Daphnia pulex: one gene and its partner. The protein of the gene in region 2 binds, or shares a complex with, the protein of the main gene of each other region. Links are inferred from orthologs where the notes say so. Each region holds a gene or a part of one and is shown on either strand. Other genes may lie near its edges.

Region 1 (11,041 bases), on a different chromosome or scaffold from region 2:
GACCAAGAAGAGACAAATGTTTCAACCAGATATAATGTGCACAAATTATTGTCTTTAGCTGAATGTGGTGTTTGAAATAACAATGACAATTTTGTTTGCATACAAGGAGAACCTCGTGATACGATTTCTTTTATTTTTCATATCCACTACATCATATCTTTGCCATTTGATGTACATATTTGTTTCCCACTATAACGCAGCCAACTTAAATTTCTAGACGGGTTGTTTAAGGAGAGTGGTGTAACGTTCAATCTTTGATGCCAAACTCATGTCGATGTAGCGATCTCCAAGGACAACTACAAGTCCACCAACAATGGAGGGATCCACCTTGGTTGAAATCTTGAGACTGTCCTTTCTGGCTTCTGCAAGAATCCAGAAAGAGCGGCAGTAACCTCTTTCAATGTAGCAGCATCCAAGGCCTTGATATAAGAATAGATTTTTTTAAACATGTAATTGTTTAATTTTTTTTAGATTTATATTTTACCTTGGCTGAGGTGACCTCACATACAACTTAACCTCTGAATGCAGCCATCATGTTAAAGAAATGGCCAGTGACAACATCCAATTTGTTAAGTCTTCCATTCTCAGCAAGGAGTTCTGTAATCATAGCCATATGAATAACAATTAGAATAAAGTGAAAACCAATAGAAAATAAAAACTTACCAAGGAAGTTGCCTGTAACAGCACTCATTTTCAATTTCTTGGCAACTGAAATAAGAGCATCTTTCTTAAGTGATCTCTTCAAAGTGGGGTTGGCAATGAATTCTGCCAAACGAGAATCTTTGGCGATAGTTGCATGAAAGTCCTTCAACTCGCTTTCAACTTTGTCCAAAGATTTCTGTTTGGAAGCAGCAGAGTAGAGTGCTGAGGCATAGCGACCATACAACCCAAAAACTTGGACTGGAGCCTATAACAATTACACAATTAGGTTAAAATGTACCTGTACCACACTCACATGATTTACCTTCACCAACTGCTGGGATGATGAACTGGTGCTGAAGTTACGAGCCTAATAGTTGGAAAGTAAAAACATTCATTGAAAATAGTACAACATTTTATAAATTACGGCAAATTAATTTAGGATTGTGCGAAAACAACCGGCTATTCAAAATCGAATACGGCTTGAAACTTAGAGGTTTGACAGTTGGATATTTCTACCTTTTTATTATGGAAAACCTTTTATTATTGTTTTTCACTTCTTGTAGAAAAGTAAGCTGTGATTGGCCAATGAGTTTTTCATAGACCCTTCCTGATTGGCTGGCTTCACGTAGTAGCTGACACACTCACTAGAGGCGCTCATCCATTTTTCCCAATCGGCTTACGTTTACCCTGAAACCGGGATAGGGAAGCCAACACAGCCATGAACTGACCAGGTATCTATAGCTCTGATATTAAAAAAAAACCTGTCACCTTGTTTTATTTCGTCTTACTCGTCAACGTCGCATCGTCTCTCCGCTTCAAAAAAGTTTAAGCGGCCGTTGAGAAACGTCGTACTCTCGTTATTTTCAGAAAATTTTGTGATTTCAGATAATTAGAAGACTGATTTTTGAATTGCTCTATAATTTTCCCAATGCTTTCTACAAAATCATTGGAATTGAAAGAAAATTTGTCGAAGCGGAAATCGGAGGTTGACAAGTGCACGATACCTCCCAGCAAGGAACCTCGCATTGAAACAGAAACAGATAAGGGCAAAGAAGAGATCGCTAATAGTTTCAATACTTACCAATATTGGAAAGATCCGCTTCCTGACATCAGTTTTGAACTTGGTACAAATATTGTAAGCCCAAGGCAGGCTGAGTAAAATGGTAGGCAACAAACACATTGAAGAGATATTTACCAAAAGCCAACATTCCATTGCTGATCACCCCAAACTAGTAAAGAACCTTAGAAAAGTCTATGACCAAATTGAAGATGTAGATTCTTTTAATCAACATTTTATTAAATGCTTCAAGTGTCTCTTGATTCATGGAGAAAGGGAGACTGCTGTTAACTTTTGTTTAGATTTTGCAGCCAAATTTGCAACATCGTTTGAACTGGAAAAAGATCCAGAAGATGAAGATGGTGAATGCCACCCTTTCTATGAAAAACTTTTTGATTTTCTTTTGTCCCATCACAATGTCAAGAGCCAGGCTGTTCGATTTAGAGTGTGCCAGTTCATTAATAGAATGCTAGAAGAGTTGAATGAGTCTGCTTGCATCAGCGCAGAACTTTTTGAAAAAATTTATGATGCCATGCTTGAAAGAATTCAAGACAGAATTGCCTCAGTTCGGGTCCAGGCTGTCATTGCCTTACAGCGCCTGCAAGATCCTACCAACAAAGAATGTCCAGTTATTAAGGTAACTTGGCGTTAAAAATGTTTTTACTTTTCTGTATTTAAAAAATGTTTCACCCTTGTACAGGCATTAGTTTTCCATTTGGAAAGAGATCCTCATCCCGAAGTACGTCGAGCTGTACTTAAGGCACTTGGATGCAATTATTTTACGCTCGAATTCGTTTTGGTCAGGCTGCGTGACGTCAAAGACCTTGTTCGCAGGCAGGCCTATATCTTCATTAGTGAGAGGTATGTGGAAGAATAAACAATAATTGCATGCTGTCTATTTTTATCTTCATTTATTTTCATTTTTAGAGTTCATGTCCGAACATTATCAATTGCCAATCGTGTGACAATTTTGAACCTCGGACTCAACGACAAATCAGCTGCTGTGACGACCATGGTGCAGGACAAACTTATCCCTGCCTGGATCAACGCCATGGAAGGCTCCATCTTCAATTTCCTGCGTGGTCTTGATGTGGAAGGCTGCAGCGATACTGCTGTTCAAGTCTTGCAAGTTTGGTTGAAAACGCTCAACTACAAGGAGATAACATCTCAGTTGCCTATTGGTGAAGAAAATCTGGTTAGTATCGAAGCGTTAAAGCCAGAAGTGGCTCTTTATTGGTGCACGGCCGTTTCTTTCCTGCGAAACGAGGGAGTTCATGCAGCAGATGCTCTTGAAACCATTATGCCAGAAATGACAGCGTTTGGGAAATATTTGAAAATTTTCGTTTTGGCAAGGCTTACCGAAACCGACGACATGGAGGTAAAAACATTGTATTTCCTAAAATTGTATTCTTTCGTTAAAACATGTCATTATGTATGCCATTAGGTATTGAGTATGGAATTTATCGTTGCCAACTTATTGGAGATGGCACAACACTTTGACCTTGCGGATGAAGCGGGTCGCTTGAACTTGCGACGCGATCTCTGCGATCTTTTACAACACGAAAAGACTAGCCCAGCATTGACTCGTACCATGGTCAAGTGTATTAGTCTGATTGAGCCCAATTTGGATGTTCGCATCGCCAAATTGCTTGAGGTCATTTCAGAGCTGCGAGAGCCACTAACTCAGGCGGAAGTACTCATTCCAGAAGATCAGCAGCGAAGAAACAAATTAGAGGTGAACTGGCTTATTGGATCCAAAAGAAATTCATTTTTTGATTCATTATTATTTCTGAATAGATTGCTCAATGCCGAGTCCAGGTGAACGAATTAAAGGAAGAATTGCAGGAGGCCATTGACAAACAAAACTTTCTTGGTGCCCAAGAGATTCAACAAAAGATGGTCGTTTTGGAGACGAAACTAAGCGAGTTGTGCAGTCGGCCCACCACTCATGACGTTGAAGTGTTCCGCGAAGAGAGAGATGATCCCTTAACACTACTAAAGTGTCTCAGCACCGTTTGCGAGCTGCTAAAAAATTCGCCGGTATATTTCATTCTTATTTTTAAAAATCAGTAACATTGCTGGTTAGTAATGATTCTTTTTTATTAGATGCTTAAATTGACGAAAGAATTGGACCAACTTTTAATGTCTCTGATCTTGCCTTGCGTCGAGAGAATCGATCCAGCTGTCCGAAATGCCGCTTTCGAAGCTTTGGGTTGCCTGTGTACTTGCGACTTGGAACTGGCCCAACAACGTTTGCTCTTGTTTGTACAAGCAGTTCAGATGGATCACCAAATCCTTCAGATCACAACAGCCAAAGTTCTCTTTGATCTCGTTCAATTATTTGGTCTTTCCGTGAGTCATGCATTACTCTTATTTTATTCATCAAGAAACTTAAATCATACATGATTCATTTCAGACTTTTGAGGACCAAGAGAGTGGTACATCTCTAGCTACAGTGCTGACTGATCTGTTGGATAGTGAAGATGCAGATGTTCAAACAATTGCTGTCGAGGGTTTCGCTAAACTATTGATTGCTTCCCGGTATGTATTTTTGAAATGTCAGTAAAATTTTTCCTTTTCGTTGTATTAATAACTTAAATGTGACATGTAGAATTGAATCGTCCATGATTCTTTCGCGCTTGGTCATTTTCCTGTTCCACCCGCTGACGGATGAAAACGTTCGTCTGCGTCAAGTCCTCCACGTCTTTTTTCCTTTCTTTGCTTCCATGGATATTGCAAACCAACAGCAATTGGAGGCGGCTTTCGTACCGACTATCAAGACCATTCAAAAGGCCCCGTGTACTTCTCCTTTGGCGGAGATAGACATTTCCATGATCGTCAAATTCTTTGTCGACTTGACACAGGTAACTTAATGTTACAAGCCTTAACATGAATTACAAATATCTTAATTACAAGTAACCTAATTTTGTTATATTTGCTATTTAGGAAAGTTTATTAGCCGCCAAGCCTGAGGTCGATCACACCATCCACGATCAACTCGCTATGAAACTTTGTACTGAATCGATGCGATCTCCTGATACGAACGAAAGTAAAGTCTACCTCAAGGCCTTGTTGCAGTTGAACATGTCGTTCTCCAATCCGTCAAACACTAAAGACTTGCACACTCTTATCCGGAAAATGCTTCGAAATTTCAGAGAGAAGGGTTCCATCAGAATGATTGAGCAATTTGAATCTATCGTAGAAAAGCATTTGACGGCTAATGCGGACTCGGCCAAGTCTGCTACTGAAAACGATTCCGATATGGAAGTTGAACCTGTTATTGCTCCCCCATCTCCTCCCATCAATAAGCCAAGAACAAGAAAATTAGGAAGTAAACATGCAGCGACTCTTTTAATGGATACTAGTAGCGACGTCGATGTCTCCCAAAGTTCCGATGTTTTCTTCAGCCCAGAAAAGACAAGCACTCAAAAGGAAAAACCTCGTGAAAAATCACCCGAGGTTGTTATTGAACAAATGGATGAGGTTGTTATTGAACAAATGGATTTAAGGTGATTACATATTTAATTTCGCTTTCTACGTGTTATTTTCATCAAATTTTCGTTCGTTTAGTTCGACCACAAACAGCGAGAAAACTGTACCTTCAAGAACTCGACGACAGGCTCCACGCAGCGTTTCCGTTGTCGCTGAGGAACGAACAACACCTCCTCCTTCCTTACCTCGTCGTAGAACACGATCGACTAGATCAGTCGTTGTTTCCAGTGTCGACGAGGACAGTGTTCCCGTTGACGATGGGGACCGAACACCTCCTTCCCCACCTCGGCGTAGAATACGATCAACGAGATCAGTTGTGGTTTCCAGTGTCGACGAGGACGGTGGGGAACAAACAACTCCTTCCCCACCTCTGCGCAGAACACGAACGACGAGACCAGCCGTGATTTCTAGTTCCGACGAGGATGAAGATGTTATACCTCCGACCCCACCTCCAAATAAAAATACTAAAAAGTCGGCAAGATCAACCAGGAAGCGTTGATAAAACAAATTTTTTTTTCTTCATTTTTCTATCATCTTTTTTTTTCTCCTTTACAATTTTACTTACTTTCCTGTAAGAGATATTAATACAAATAAATTTCGGTCACTTGAGCAATTCCAGAATGTTTCACTAGAAAAATAACTCATTTGTGACATTGTGTGACATTGTGAAATTCAAATATCATACTGTGATATGCCGGTAGATGTCTTGATCAACGATCGCTTCTGGATTTTTGATCACAGATCACTCGTCTGTCTCTGTAGGCTACGGTCTCCGGTGTCTTGTTTTGAGAGCAGACTGGAGTACGTGTTTAAATAGTTTATTCGTCATTCCTGAGGGTTTGTTTAAGTTTTAAACAAGTATATCCCATTAGATTTAAAATGGGTGAAGCTCAAATGCCAAAACCAGTTAGGTTTGCTATTGGAGGTTTGTCAGGGTAAGTTGTTACAGTCTTACTTTATTTATATATAAGTTTTATTAACAAGGATTTTGTCAATTTTAGAATGGCTGCCACATTGTTTGTCCAACCTATGGATCTTATTAAGAACAGAATGCAGTTGAGCGGTGAAGGTGGCAAAGCCAAAGAACACAGGAACACTTTGCACGCAATTAGATCCATCATGATGAAAGAGGGTATCTCTGGCATGTATTCTGGTTTATCTGCAGGCCTTCTGAGACAGGCAACCTATACAACAACTAGGCTGGGAATTTACACATGGCTGTTTGACACCATGAGTGGGTTAGTAGGACTGTGACCTTGACAAATGTTATAGTTCAATACATCTATATTGTTTTTTTATTTCTAGTCCTGATGGAAAACCACCAGGTTTTGCAACAAAAGCTGTGCTTGGAATGGCTGCTGGAGTTGTAGGAGCATTTGTGGGAACCCCAGCTGAGGTAATTTTAGTGAAAAAGGGCACATGGTAACAAAAAGTTACCGGTATTCATTACTTATTATAGGTTGCCCTTATTCGTATGACAGCAGATGGAAGACTGCCAGAGGCAGACAGAAGGAATTACAAGCACGTCGGTGACGCGTTGGTTCGGATGGTCAGGGAGGAAGGATTGGTCACTCTCTGGAGAGGTTTTTGCAATTTCCTTTGGAAATTTCCTTGGAAATTTCTCTTCCTTTTTGAATTTCCTTTTAAATCTCCTTTGAATTGATCGTAGGAGCGATCCCAACGATGGCTCGGGCAATGGTGGTAAATGCCGCCCAACTTGCTTCCTATTCTCAAGCTAAACAATCTCTCATGTCAACTGGTCAGTCTAGTCTTTAACGCCCACATTTATAGCGCAAAAACTAAACGGCTCTTTTTCTCTAGGTTATTTTAGTGAAAACGTGATTCTTCACTTCTGGGCTTCCATGATCAGTGGTCTAGTTACGACAGCCGCTTCTATGCCTGTCGACATTGCAAAAACTAGGTAACTACGTCGTATTATCATCGATTAGTATCGAAAGATAAGAGAAAATAACATTTTTGGCATTGATTCAGGCTGCAAAATATGAGGTTCATTGACGGCAAGCCAGAATACAAGGGCGCAGTCGATGTACTGGGTCGCGTCGTACGCAACGAAGGAATCCTAGCTTTGTGGAAGGGATTCACGCCGTACTACGCACGCATCGGACCGCACACAGTTCTCACCTTTATTTTCCTCGAACAGATGAATACGTTTTACAAGCGAAATATTCTCGGTCTCAAGGACGCCAAAGGAGGTGGCATTTAAATTGTCTTGTCAATAGAGAGAAGCTTTGGTAGAAAATCATCAAGCCTGATATTTAGTCTGCAATCCATGTTGTCGACACGTTAAATTGGTGACTGTGAATGTAATTTAGGTGGATTTTGTTATCAAATAAAAAGGTATAAAACACATATCGATTTTGTAAGACAACTTTATTAAGAATTACTCCAAGTGTGTGCTGGAAGCACCCTTTTATACACTTTAACAAATGAATTCGATTGCGCAAAATAACTAGTGAATAACGAGTGACTAGTCATACTGTACAAGCTCTATACACGTTTTTTTTTCTTTTTTCTTAAGTTAAAAAAAAAGGCACAATCTAAATAGTCAGAATAACTATCACAATTCGATATTTTGCGCGAAAGACAAAGCTGATTAAGAAAAAGGGGTTTGGGTGGGAGATTACATGAATGAAGACTTTTGAAAACAGCGACGGCAGTTCATTATTCCGAACCAGTGTACCGCTTTTCGTTTACCAAACTAAAATCGAAAACCGGTTAGTTATTAAGAATATTATGATTATTCTAATTATTATTTTTACCTGTTGAGCACGTAAACTGTGGCCTCGTATGTGGTCATCATAATGGCCGTGTTGGGAATTTGCCGGATCAACTGCGTCGACAGTCCACGATAGAGCCCTCGATGTCCCTCTTCGCGGAAGACTGTGTGCAACGTTTGAAAAAATCCCCTGTAACGTGAATTCTCTTCACGCAGCCTGGTCCTAACCACTTCATGCGGATAGGACACACAACAAGCCACCGTCTTGCTGATGGCTCCTGCTAGCATGTAGTCCATGGCTTGGTAGTTGCCCAGTGGACTGTCCGTCTGCGTTTCCCGCATCTGTTGCAGGGTCGATTTCAGGTACTCGTAAAGTACAAACTTAATTATGGTCTCTGAGATACCGAAATATGAGGCTGTTATTCCTCTGTAAAAGCCAACAACACCCTAAAGAAAAAAGAATTCCAAAATTAGATTGGTGGCGCTGGCTGAGCCTGTTACGTAACGTCACGACGAATTGGTTTCCAAATTACCTGACTACGATAGATGTTGGAAATGCACTGCCAAGCTGTGACGTTTTGATTGCGATTGAGCTGCAGACGTGTCTTGACGAACCAAATTGGATTGGTTAAAGTGCACGACACAAATCCTGTGGAAACAGGAAGAAGTTAATAAAAAACGATTAATTTATGGATCTGTTCAATTTGCGAATGACGTACTACGTAGGCCACAACGAGTTCCTTAACCGTCCCAAGGACGAAACGGGAAAATGCGCCATATCCGCGAATGTTAGAAACGGGCTCTATAGGTAGACTACGTAATAATGCCCTCCTTCCCGCCCGGAGTGGATTTTGTTAACTTATTCAAAGTCTGGGCGAACCTTGGGCAGGAGCACGGCTTGTGCACGTGTTCCGTTTTTAAAAATACACCAGACCATTCTTCCAAGGAGGGGGGAGAGAGAGAAACGGCAACTGGGCATTCGTTACGTGAATCACGTAGGTAAGTGGAGAGAGAAAAAAAGACGGCTGAGCCAACCAACCGGACAAGTCTGGTTTTTTCACCCTTTGATGCTGACCCGCATACGAAATTAATTCAATTATTTTCACATAGAAAACCCAGGGTGAATCAGCTAATACATTCTTCCTAATGACTTTGTCTTCTCTTCCATGCATTCTTTTTAAAAGGAATATATAATTTGTGCAACGTCATTTTAAAGCAAGTTTTAACCCCCCTCCCGACTGCCAGCAAGAAGTGAATTTTGGGCTAAATGCCAAGTTGGTTATTGCGTTAAAAAGTGACAACTAAAAGGGAAGAGAACAACTAATACAAGGACGTCCTTCTATGTCTAACTAAAGCGATATGGGCGAAAAACCGGCCTCGACTGGACAGAAAAGAGAAATTTTGCGCAACTAGACGTGAGGGACATATTTACCTGCAGAGCCAGCCGAGAGCATATGGACCAAGTGAGAATCTGGAGTCATGATCTGGTTGAATTTTCGTTTGGCCGTTGAATAGGTGCAAAAATATAGGGCTCTAGTGGGGGCCACTCCAATCAGGTTTGGTCCCAAACCTTTGAATAGCGCCCGGCATCCTTCTTGGTCGATCAGGTGCCTACGTGAGAAGGCAAAGAATTTGATCAATTAACCGTTGTTCTTATCGAAATCCACACCTTATCTCCTTTTTATAGTTCTAGTTTTTATTATCGTTTAAATGTATATATGTAGAGCAAACAAACAAGTCAATTAAAGGATTAAATATTCCGTTTGTTTCATAGAATTCCCTTTTCTTACCGAAAACAAGAAAGGGCTCCTTTGGGTTGGGCGGAAGACGCCGGCCAAGGGAGGACGGCTTCAGGAAACACAGCCAACCTCGAATTGACGGACGAGCATTGTTGGTGATGATAATAAACGTTCCAGTTCATTTCTGGAGTGAAATACATGTGATTGGCGCTGCATCCTGCGTTGGACGAAGCTGTTCGCAGGGAGCGAACTGCACTGTAGTGGATTTCAGAGGAAGACGATTGCAGGCGAGTCTTGATAACTTCAAGTGGGCACGTCACTATGGCTCCCACAGTACCACCAACCCTACGTCGTCACAGAAAAGAAACATTAAAAAATTGAGTCCTAGCAACGAGAATGGGTCAACGAGTGCGTTGGGCTAGCCAAAAATGTCGCCTCTTAAAATACTAACTTCAAACAAATGCCAACTTGTCTTTGGAATGGTTTAGTAGCCTGCAACTTTCAAAGGGAAAAGTTGCTGCAAGGATTTGAAAACTGAAGTACGTATATTTTAGAGTTCGATGGCAAACACACTAGGATTCAAATTACAACATCTGGCTCAGAAGAAAGCCATTATTTTGGAATGCACAAACATCCCTCACTGCTTAAATTCTAGTTGTGGAGTGGACCAACTTAGGAGGGAAACTGAAATGGAAGATAACGAGAAGGGTACACTGGGCAAGATAACTGATGCAGGTAAGATAGGTTTTATAGGTTAAATGAAAACCATCTCCCTCACCCAAGTTAAAACCCAAGGCAACATAATGTAGTATGTAGTTTGAAAATTTTAATCCCTACCTCCCTTCTGACTAAGACTAAAGGAAGGGATGTCGGTGTGTTCGGCGTAATGGCCAAAATGGTTTCTGCCTAGTGGGGGGAAGAAGACGAAAAATGAACCGAAACGAAGAAAACGAAAAAAATCTTACCCGCCAGCGAAGAGATGGATGAATGTATCTGCATTCGACATAACACGTAATGCAATTGCACATCAATTAAGATGAAAGTAATATTTTTGTATAGTTAAATGTTTACCAAGACCAACCGGATTGGCCGAATTGTAAACATAAGTGTAGTTTGCTCTAAAGATGACGGAAGAATAAAACAAAATCCAACACGAGTTCGTTTTCAGCTGCTGGCCTGCTGCTGATCTGACTGGGATAGGTAAGGGAAATGGGGGTAGGGGACGGCGAACCAATGGCTCGTTCGCTATTGGGTATCTAAGCTACGACAGAGCCACCTAGCGCCGCGTGATGGAAAACCCAACGACGCAATTCCCACAAACACGCTTGTTTGTTTATCGGCTTTTCAGATCGATCAAACAAGAGCCCTCGGGCA
Region 2 (11,196 bases):
TAAAGGAAAGTTTTATTTATAGTTTTAAATGATCTGCTGATCTTGTAAGAAATTAAAAAAATGTTATCAATAGGGTGACATACCAAAGTATGATCAAATAAAGTTTTGGAATTGTTTGATCAAACCCCTTCAAATTCTTGCAAAATCACATGTTAATACAAATATTGCCTTTGGTGGTGGTTCTTTGAGCAACCTTGTCTCCATGGAAAACTTCTTGGTAATGAGAAAATTGTACTCTATATTATTACTCTTAAAGTCTCTATATTAAAATATTAGGATGCTTTTAGCATGAAGGCCACTTTGTTGTCAGCTGATGTACAAAGTGAGATTAAGCAAATACATGAAATGAAAGGCAGAGACCAATTAACAAAGAAACAGATTGTACTGAGGAAAAATCTGCAAAATGACAATTTGCTCATCCCTAACTTCACTAAACAAGCTAAAAGATTGAAAACTGCTGCTGATCAATTTAATGATATTTTCAACTCTGATTTAAAAATCTATCTTCCCAAAAGTGGATCCTCTGCTCCACTTTTAGAATTTGGAGAAGAAATAAATAATATCAGAACCAAGGTCACTGCTTGGAAAAAGGTAAATATGCCTTCTAAATATTTGTTTTAATAATTAACTTTACACACAAATTTAATATAGGGTGCAGATTCTCTACTGGAATTACAACTAAGTACTACCTCTGAGACTAATTTGAAGAAATCAATAATTGAACGGCATTCTTACGAAAGGTGCCAGTCTTATCATTTTAACGACCGGTGGTCATGGTTAAAACTTTGTGTTGCAAGTTTAATGGGATGGCGTGCTTAAGGCTCAGCTTGTGCCATAGCTGAAGCGTTTTACTTCTAATGAAAGAATGAACGTCATGCAAGTGTTCCAGAAGAGGATCCAATAATTGATCACGCAGTTCACCCATCCTCTCGTTTAAATCCTCTCCACTTAGTTCCTAAATACCAATTAATATGTAAGGCGATAAAAAAGAGAAAATCAAAAGGAATTCATACCTCCATGACAATCTCTGCAAATATAGAGAGCGCACTATTACGCTAATAGAAACATACATTCTTTCACGTAAAGAAATAATTATTTTTCCAAATTTAACAGACCACTCTCGCTAGGCCAGCGCTTGTGAGATGGAGAATACAAGCAAAGCAGTGCCAATATGTAAACGTTCCACATTCCGTACACTCCAGTGAAGAAAGCAGACGTATATTCCAAATTGATGTCCTCATCCCATTTCCACTTGCCTTCCGATACCTGAGACAGTAATGGTGTTAAAGAGCTCTGCTCATACGATGCACTTAAAATAACTTACTTGACCAAGAATGAATCCAATGACGGTCATAGCAGCACAAAGTAGAGTGGCCAGCATAAGAAACTTGAATCTGTAAATGACACCTTCATAGAAATGTCTGCGAGCGGACGCCATTGCAGGCAACGCCTGACGCTTAGCACTGATATTGCGGAACACACGATAAATAATATATGACAAGAAAAGAAAGTAAACTCCAGCAGCGATTCCAGCAATAATAACAAAGCTCAGCTATAAAACAAACAAAATTGACGAATGAAGAAACAAAATGTCAAGCAAAGCTGTAACCAATTAATAATTTACCGCGATTTGTGTCCCAATTTCATTCGCCCAAATAGAATAGAACGGATTCCTAAGTTGGATGCCTCTTTCGCACATGTCAAAGATGAACATGGACAAACAACCAACTCCAACACAGCTAAGCTGTTTCCAATAACCTCTTAGTCCTTTTCTTTCAGTATCATCCTACATGTTTAACATATTAACATAAATTTGAAAACAAATGTCATAAAACAAATATACCTAATTCTAAAATGTTGGATTTTGTGTGGATGTTAGAAATCAATTAGAGCATTAGTTGAGTTATATGCTAGTAAAGCGAATGAAAAAAATTAACACATTACCACGAGATGTTCTCCGGCGAAAACAAGCCAGAAAGATAATAGCATCGAGTAAAAAATACCCTGTTTCATATCTCCCAAAAGAAGCATGAAAGGCATTTCAAAGCTCAGGGTTAAGTACTCAAGGGGAACTGTAAAAGAACAACAGAGGAGTCAGCAAAACACATTATTTTATAAAACTTCTGATTAAATTACGATTTAAAGTAGATAAAGCGACGCCAAGAGCCAAGAGCATTGATTCCAATAACGTGGGTTGCCTAGCTAATAACTGAACACGACGCCAAAACCAGATCATGACTCCTACTACCATGGGAAAGAAAATTGTCTTCAAAGACAACCAAACTTTGGTAAAACCACCATTCTGATTAATGACGACAAGCCAAAGATCGGATACAGGACCGAGGCCTCGGTTGTTTTCATATATCATCGGGAATCGCAGATTCAGAAGGTAGTAGTCATGATGTAATGCACCAAGTTCAAACAGTGGTAGAAGAGGGCAATTATAAAGGTAACCATCATCCCACTAAAAAAACGAAAATTACAAAAACTTAATTCGTCATTTCATCCTTCAGAAAAATAAATAAATTATTACTTCAGGAGGTGAACAATCCATAGTTCTGCTTTCAGTTGATGTAGCATACTCCTTCCACTCATCATCAGGATCTCCCTTGTTCCGATAACCAAGCCTGGCTTCAATTGTAACAGGAACTCTGGGTTCCATTAGCTCCCTTTCTATAAAATCAATACTGAAGAAAGGGAACAGAACAAAATATTAAAAATTAAAAAATATTTTACCTTTAAAATAGGTAACATCAATTTGTAAAATTCCAATAAGATTTTGCATCCACCGAGAGTAGTCCAATTCAATTCCTCCACGTGGTAGAGGTAACTACAAAATTAACAGACTTGACACTTAAAACCTTTCAAAATACTCTAAATTTTAGATTACATACCTGGAAAGCAAAAACAACATTTTTATCAGTTATATGTCTCTCCTCTGCTTCAGGCCCATGCAAATCATCAATCTTGTCACAACCACCATTAGGTCTGACATAAAAGAATTTGCTTTTGTTTTGACTATTATCATAGCATTTTGTGGCCAAAACAGACTGAACATTGGATGGTGCTGGAGCTGCAATTGAAATTAAAAGAATGTAGTTACTGATAAATGCCCTTTCCCACATTCAAAAATGTTTACAGGAAAAAGCCAGACCACCACCGAAAACCAGACTTCTCTATTAACGGGGTGCTATTTTAAGAAATGTGAGTCACAAAGGTTCATCTGACAGAAGTTAAGACTTACCGACCAAGCCGCCGAGAAGAAAGCATACTAGAAGACATATAAGGAGGAAAGATATCAACACAATCAACTTTCGATTACTCAGGTTTTCAACCACGGCACCTGCCATTACTAAAAAATGGACTTTCCCGCAGTTAGCTTAATACTACACACGCTGCTCTGTTTTTCACGCCGACTTGATTAAAGCTAGGCGTTTGAACGCGCGTCGAACAAAGTAATGAAATGTAAACAAATGAATATTTGGATTGAACAACATTGCCATTGTCTAAAAGATGCCAAGCAGACGACTGCTAATGGCCAACCAGGCAACGCTGTATTTTTTGTTCAAATTGTTGACAGTTTGAAAGTAGACGAGAATTTCTCGTTGTTTTTTAGAAAATGTCAACGATTGAAGAGAACATATCAGAAATTATTAATGTTCTTCAGTCAGTTAATTGTCCACTAATCGTCCGAACTGATGATTGGTGGATTGAGGAACTCTTGTTTACACCAGGGAAACCACGAAAGGATTTAATTCTTTGGATAACTTCGAAGGCAATCGAAAGTGCGTTGCCTTCTACTTTACATTCAGCACAATTAAAATTGCAAGATCTTGATTCCACAGCTACTTCTAGTTCTTCCAGCAATATTAAATTGCCAGAGAGTGATGAAGGTGATTTTATTAATATATTTTTTGTTAGTCTGAATTAATACATGTTGTCCTTCCAAAGCTATTCTTGGATTTTGGTGTGGTGCAAATGTTTGCAGTAAAAAAGATCTACCCTTTATTAAGGTAAGTTTTATTTGTTGTTTTAAATGGTCTGCTGATCTTGCAAGAAATAAAAATTTTTTGATCAATAGGGTGACATACCGAAATATGATCAAATAAAGTTTTGGAACCGTTTGATCAAGCCCCTTCAAATTCTTGCAAAATCACATATTAATACAAATATTGCCTTTGGTGGTGGTTCTTTGAGCAACCTTGTCTCCATGGAAAACTTCTTGGTAATGAGAAAATTGTACTCTATATTATTACTCATAAAGTCTCTATATTAAAATATTAGGATGCTTTTAGCATGAAGGCCACTTTGTTGTCAGCTGATGTACAAAGTGAGATTAAGCAAATTCATGAAATGAAAGGCAGAGACCAATTTACAAAGAAACAGATTGTACTGAGGAAAAATCTGCAAAATGACAATTTGCTCATCCCTAACTTCACTGAACAAGCAAATAGATTGAAAGCTGCTGCTGATCAATTTAATGATATTTTCAACTCTGATTTAAAAATCTGTCTTCCCAAAAGTGGATCCTCTGCTCCACTTTTAGAATTTGGAGAAGAAATAAATAATATCAGAACCAAGGTCACTGCTTGGAAAAAGGTAAATATGCCTTCTAAATATTTGTTTTAATAATTAACTTTACACACAAATTTAATGTAGGGTGCAGATTCTCTACTGGAATTACAACAAAGTACTACCTCTGAGACTAATTTAAAGAAATCTGAAAATCTCTTGAAACGTACTATTAAGGATAAGTCTTTCCCTCCGTTTCAAAAGCTTTGCGGGTCAGACTGATTTTGTGTAAGGAGAATATTAATATACCGACACCTTGTAAATAAACGTAATTATATACTATCGCTCAGGATAGGATACTGTGTTTAAAAAATAATTAGACTAGTCCAAACAACAATAATTTGCTAACAAAATTTACTTCGTATCAAGATCTATTTTTTAAACCTTAACTACAATAAAAATTCGTTAAAATAAACAATTCCACCAGGAGTAATATGTATTCGCTGTAGACATACAATGCTGTCACCAACTGACCACTTGGTTCTGAAAATTCTACTCAGCTGCCAATACCGAGGCCCCACTTGAAGGATTTTCGTCGCCAATATGTAGATCGTCCAACATTTCCTGTAGAGTAATTTGGGGGATTTCTTCGTCTGGTTCTCCAACCTCAACGGCAAATCCAACTTTCCTTTCGTCTTTGTAGATATTCTAATAAAAATACGCAAGTGTTAGTAATGCAACAATAATTTAAATAGGTAAAAAAGAACATACAATGTTCTGACGGAAAGCTGGATCTTCTTCCAAGTCCTCCAAGAAATCGGTATAATCGCGATTAACGCTTGTAACATCCATTCCATCAGCGTCCAAGTGGCGAAGCTTAAACTTACGCCGACGATTACGAACAGACTTGTCTGCGTACATCTTCTTAACCAACACGACATCTGGCATGTTCTCACGATTCATTTTGTCAAAATTGTCATCATTAACATTACAATTAGCCAGGTCGTATCTAGAAATTGGTAATTGGATAAAAAACTGCTTCAAGGTAAGTAAAGACATGAAAAATTACCCCATAACAATGTCGCCAGGTTTAAGCAAATGTCCAAGATGAGTTCTAGTGTGAATCTCATTCGTTCCCATTTCATTAGGACGACAGACATAAACATCTGCCAATACATGCTGCAAACGATAATTTCATTACTTGCGAGTGATCTAGGAAAATCTTTTTTTCAATTACTTTGAAAGACATGGCGCCCTGTCCAGCAAATGTCCGTTTTTCATGGTCACGAATAACCTCAATATCCATGACAACATACTCTGCCAGCTGTTTGGTTCCGCTAAGGGCATTGAACGGTGTCCGCCAGTAGGTATTCGAATTAACTTCGGCAACTATTAATGTTATAAATAGGTAAACTGAATCTTTAAAAACTTTGAAATTATAAATCGTACTTTGTCCCGAAAATGGATCGATCAGATGGATGGTAGACGACACTCGTTGGACAACACAAATTTGTCCTATTCCTCCAAGCTGGTGAGCCAGTTTGGCTGGCAAACATACAACACAATCTTTGCAAACTGGAACTATTTCAACACTGTAGGTGAATTTGCAGTTGTATGTGTTGCTGTGGATATCTTGAGATATCACGGTCTTTGATACTTGATAACGGCATGGAACAACAGATGTCAAAAAGTCCAACATCTTCTTGGCTTGGCCTTCATTGGCATAGAAAAAATCAATGCCCTCATGAGTTGGCTTAATCCCCAATGTAGATTCATGGGCTTTGTGTTTCAAAATCAACTGTTCCAGATAATAGAAGGTCTTTTTGTGATCAGTTTTCTGTCTGACTTGTACCTAAAACGTAATTTTAATGATAATTAAATCAAATTTTCTATACTTTCCAAATGTTCTTATTCACTTACATTTGCTTTCCAAAAGTCTTTGGCCTCAACTCTATGACAATCTTCACAAAACTGTCCATTAACAACAAAATCAACAATAAACACTTGTTGCAAAACGGCTCCTCCCAAAACTTCAGCCTGAATTGTCAGTTTAACCTTGATTCTCTTAGAATGAGGCTCTGTCCAAACAAACCCAGCATCAATAAGCCTGACTCTGTTGAGTCCCTTAAGTTTAGCCAAACAGAGTCCTAGGAGCTCTCTAGACTCTAGTGAGCACTTAATCCACTGTTCAGGAGGTTGAAGATATCTGAATAACAAGATAGCGATGAAACGAGTTTGAAAAAAAAACAATTTTGTCTACCATCTTACCTCTCACAACCTTTGCAGAAATAGATAACAGCCTGCTTCGGAATACCCTCGGAAATGTCGACTTGGGTACGAAGACATGCAACGCACATATTTGCAGGATTAGGTTCAATGGGAGTTCCACACTGACAGCAGAGACTGCAATATAGAAAACTTGAATTTAATCCAAGAAAAGAGATGCAACATTATTTTGTCATTACATTTTGCAGGCAAGTGAAGATTCTTCAGATCCCTCCTCCATATACTCCATTGTTAGACGATAAACTAGGAATCTTCTAAAAACAAAAAAGTTAACACGTTTAACACGTGTTATCTGGTGTTATATAGGGTAACAGCCTAACAGGTTCTCCAAGACTTGGCGTAAAAAGACTCTGCAGACGACGATTAGCAAAAAAATCGATTATCGAATAAATAAAATATCGATGTAAGCATGGCGCGGCAAAAGTTGCGAAATTTGTTTTATAGGGCGTGATCCAATCCAAAATTTCCAATGGAAAATGATTCAAATTTCTGCTGCTTGTGCCAGGGGTATGGAAGTTAATGGTACGCGTAGAAGCATAGCCTACTCTAGTGATCTGCCGAATCAATTTTGATTCCAATCAAAATTTGATATTATTTTATTTCTCTTTAACCCTGTATTTTTAGAATAGACAAGTTCGGGATGCTGAGTTGCACAACCGCTAAATTAGGATCGTGCGCCAACGGGTCCTTTTAACGTTGTGGGGATAGTAGAAAGCGGGTTTTTTATTATATAAGCATAGAATTACTTATCTAATCTTAGAAATGTTCAGGATTATCGTTGTTTAGAACATTCTGCTTTTTATAGAGTAATTTTAAATGTCTAATTCAGCTTAGTTTACCCATTAAAATTAAAGAAAGTGCAAGCCTGGGATGCTGTTTAGTCTTTTCTTGTGTTTTTTGACAGATCTGTTGACAAGTGACAAGCTCAAACACACAAGAAAAGAAATGTGCTAAGATGTCATGAAAACACAGTTTTTAAAAAACCCATTTTTCCCATAAGCGCTGTGTGAAAAACGAAAAACACTTTTTCGCGCGGAAAAATGGGTTTTACGTTTGATTTTTTTTGCACACTAAATTTATTCATAATTGCACCAAAATTGGTACAATCAAAGAATGAAAGATTTAATACAATTTCATATTTCTTTAAATCTTTTATTTCCACCAAAAAGTGTGTTTACACGGGTTAAAAAAAACAAAAAATTTAAATCACTTTTAAACATGTTCTACACGATATTTTTCACGGAGATTCTGAACAGAACTATATTGTAATGGTATAAACAGTGCTCACGAACGAAATAACGGATAATAATTTGTTTGGGGTCAAATGGCTTATTTGACTATACTATCTGGCTATCTCGCCGTTACCGAGAAGCCCCGACTGCTTGTCTGTGATTTGTCTAGGGCTGTGGCCCGGGAAATGAAAACCCGGGCCACTGTTCGGGCTAAAGAAATAAAACCCAACTCAACTCACCGAGGCATTTTTTGAACGGGGCGGGCGATGGGTCGAACCGCCGGATCCGCGGGCCAACCCAAGATGTGGCGCCATCTATTAGTCAAAAAAAGAATTTCACTGCATCTGCAGCTAGGAAGTGTCAGAAACATCTGGAAGGATAGGATAGCCGTTAAATCCATGCAGAGTTGCAGAGATTGGGGACTACCCCCTTTAAAACCCCACATTTATATGTTAAAAATTTTTTCAACTTGTAACTTTTTTATTATGTGTAGAATTAATTTTAATGCAAGGTTAAGTGAAGAATGCCGAATAATATTTAAAAAAAGTGTTGAAATCGCCATCGCCAAGAAAAAGGGGAAGTTTATCATTTTTACGGTTTAGATTTAGGGAAGGGGTCGATTTTTTAGACGGAGGGTGGGCGGGAAGGTGTCGATTTATTGGGGGTTTGGGGGAGTGAGCGCATTGTATTCTTTCTTCGACCCCCCCCCCCCCTAGATAAAGTGTCGTCTGCGTTTCGTTTTGTTTCAATTCAGTCGTTAAGCGACACCAAGAGGGACCTGCCGCTAAACCGGCACCTCCTGGTTTATGAGCAGTTGGGCACTTGGGCACTTTTCCAAGCTAGCACTGGATGAGGATCATAATGTCGTTGACGAAGTTCGCCCACTAAATCACTTGTCTAAACGATTAGGCAAAAGACGAAAAAAGTTCTTGAAAATATAAAGATTATAAATTAGAAAATCCTGCAAACCTTTTTGGAGAAGACATGCAAAATTGTGTCACAAACTTCGCCAATTAATATTGCTTGTTTTTTCCATAACGGATTCCTTGTAAAATTGGGTTAGACCCCAATGGGAATTTCCGTTATCTCTATCTGCGTACCGTTCAAAACTGCTACTTATTGCTACTTAAATTGTTTGTACCCAAATACTTCGCACTTGCGTCACTCCCACAACAAAACATTTTGAACGCCAATTTTTCCTATTCCGCAACTTCAGCCTCATTTAAAATCACCAGAAGTTTTTCGAGATCTCTTTGCCACAAATCTTCCGGTGATTGGTCCAAGATGAGCTGTTCACATTCACGTATCTCCTTATCTTTGTCGCCAGATAAGCTTGTTTTCCTTCGTTGGTTTGAAAGCGGATCGGCAACTGATGCAGGTGATAATTGGATTTCTTCTCCCAAGTGATAAGAGAACCTGGAGCATAGTTTGACGACGTAGTTCCTCCAAAAAAACATCAAACTTCTAAAAGATAGGAGAAGCGAAAAAAGTTCATGAATAAATTAAATTGAAACTTATTAAATCACGCAAACCTTTTCTGAGTCGACTGTCAGATCTTTAGAACTTATTTCGGCTAGGAATTTGTTTTGATTTATTAGCTTTTCTCTCAAGGCTTTAACTTCGAACGCCAGCTCTTGTTCGACATCTTCTATTTTCTTCAACATCAGAAGATCATCGAGATCTTTACACCATAAGTCTGCCGATGATTTTTCCGAGTAGATTTCATGTTCATTTATCCTGAGATCTCAAACCTTCAGAAGTCTTTCTATTTCTTCGTGGATAAGAGAGGGAGGGGTTTTCAGTAGCGCTAACAAGTATTCAACATCGATGATATGCTGTCCTCCCCTTGGACATCTTCTCCTAAGCCTTATTGCAAAAAGTTTACTTACCAAAAGAAGTTCAGCGTGGATGGAGGGTTGCTTCCCCCTGTGTCCAAACAGAATCGTTTTAGGATGCACAAGGACAGAAACGGTTAGCTCTTGACTTGCTGTGGTCCTGCAGACCTGCACTTCTTCCATATCAGCAACTATATCCCCATTTAACATAAAAAAAATAATCGAGATCTTATTTGCGCACCCAATTGTAAGATGATTATTTTAGAGTAGATCCCATTTTATCTTCAAATATCTTTCTTTTCCTCCGTCGGTTAGTAACGAATGGGCATCTGATACAAATAAAAGTAACTGCTAACTTTGACATTGCCCTGGTAGCAAGCCAAGCAAAAGTCTTTCAGACGTTTTCTGGTTCGAATTCTTGGCTTGGCTGTCCTTCCCTTTGACATATTCTGAGCATTAATGCAGTGAATTCACTTACCAAAATACGTCCAGCGTAGATGGAGGTTTGCTTCCCACCTTAATTTTAACTAAATTTTGAGATTCATACAAAAATTTAGGATGCAGAATGGACAGAAAGGGATCGATTGATGGACGAAAAGGGCTTGAATCACACCTGAAATAGGTTTGAAAAATGTTTAACTTAAGCTTTAGATGAAGACTGATGTGAATTTACTCATTTTGATGTTAATTTACTGTGCCAGAATGCTTTAAATATGAAAGGGAATACTCATGCAGGGAAAAAGCAGTATGGACAGAAAGCGTTAGCTCTCCCTTACGTCCACTCGGTGTATTCATTGGATGGAAAAATGATCATTTAAGCAAATCCTACAAAAACGTAAAATGGATTGTAAAAATAAAGAATCGTCCGTACTATTTTAGTGTCTCCTTATTGATGGTAAAATCGTACTCCCTTGGCATGTAGCCAACCTGTGAAACCCGAAATTACCCTGTTAGGAGAGCCCAGCTCATGTCCCAGGATGAGTAGCTACCTCATAAGACGAGTGGTTAAAACTATTTTCTCTCGGCGGTAAAGTTCGACTATTCCAATGAGCTGTTCTCAGAGGTGGACTGAAAAAGGTTTGGGGCCGCTGGATCGGTCCAATCCTTTGCGCCAGAGAAGATCGTGGTTTCACTTGATGCAAGTGAATAGAACTTTGCATTGTCCAAAAGTTCAAACCTATCCATGACCGAAGGTATGGAACTTGGCAGCAGGTTTAGCTGCACTGCTGGAAGCTTTATTGAAAGGTGCCTCTCCTGGATCAGATGAAAGTTCTTTGCTCTTCTTCTTCTTTTCTGGTGGAACTTTGACTGAAAGTCTTTGTTCTTGATCT

What was found.
Region 1: condensin complex subunit 1-like (region 2) and condensin complex subunit 3-like share a complex: the UniProt entries of both Homo sapiens proteins name them as parts of the condensin complex. The link is inferred for Daphnia pulex from reciprocal best matches to the Homo sapiens genes NCAPD2 and NCAPG.

What each region holds. Positions count from the first base shown.
Region 1 is NC_060020.1:456,373-467,413, forward strand, and holds condensin complex subunit 3-like, read left to right. Parts: upstream 1-1,308; 5' UTR 1,309-1,802; coding exon 1,803-2,336; intron 2,337-2,399; coding exon 2,400-2,560; intron 2,561-2,626; coding exon 2,627-3,077; intron 3,078-3,143; coding exon 3,144-3,434; intron 3,435-3,496; coding exon 3,497-3,739; intron 3,740-3,805; coding exon 3,806-4,051; intron 4,052-4,115; coding exon 4,116-4,240; intron 4,241-4,310; coding exon 4,311-4,563; intron 4,564-4,645; coding exon 4,646-5,208; intron 5,209-5,264; coding exon of another isoform or gene 5,265-5,269; coding exon 5,270-5,690; 3' UTR 5,691-5,804; downstream 5,805-11,041. Other genes in the region: uncharacterized protein LOC124193140, read left to right, coding at 1-75; mitochondrial 2-oxoglutarate/malate carrier protein-like, read left to right, coding at 6,071-6,126, 6,193-6,429, 6,497-6,587, 6,651-6,774, 6,861-6,950, 7,013-7,112, 7,184-7,415; solute carrier family 25 member 36-A-like, read right to left, coding at 7,874-7,910, 7,972-8,375, 8,462-8,577, 9,361-9,539, 9,719-10,012, 10,633-10,673. UniProt on the Homo sapiens protein: Regulatory subunit of the condensin complex, a complex required for conversion of interphase chromatin into mitotic-like condense chromosomes.
Region 2 is NC_060021.1:6,806,644-6,817,839, forward strand, and holds the start of condensin complex subunit 1-like, read right to left. Parts: upstream 3,479-11,196; 5' UTR 3,351-3,478; coding exon 3,245-3,350; intron 3,074-3,244; coding exon 2,895-3,073; intron 2,831-2,894; coding exon 2,737-2,830; intron 2,674-2,736; coding exon 2,534-2,673; intron 2,465-2,533; coding exon 2,137-2,464; intron 2,073-2,136; coding exon 1,945-2,072; intron 1,787-1,944; coding exon 1,625-1,786; intron 1,553-1,624; coding exon 1,325-1,552; exon of another isoform or gene 1,267-1,324; coding exon 1,116-1,266; exon of another isoform or gene 1,028-1,115; coding exon 1,014-1,027; exon of another isoform or gene 820-1,013; coding exon of another isoform or gene 652-819; intron 592-651; coding exon of another isoform or gene 277-591; intron 218-276; coding exon of another isoform or gene 203-217; exon of another isoform or gene 1-202. Other genes in the region: uncharacterized protein LOC124193881, read left to right, coding at 3,776-3,893, 3,952-4,013, 4,082-4,225, 4,285-4,599, 4,660-4,794; uncharacterized protein LOC124193883, read left to right, coding at 203-217, 277-591, 652-819; 60S ribosomal export protein NMD3-like, read right to left, coding at 5,065-5,220, 5,284-5,521, 5,582-5,691, 5,750-5,901, 5,962-6,364, 6,433-6,718, 6,781-6,915, 6,978-7,027. UniProt on the Homo sapiens protein: Regulatory subunit of the condensin complex, a complex required for conversion of interphase chromatin into mitotic-like condense chromosomes.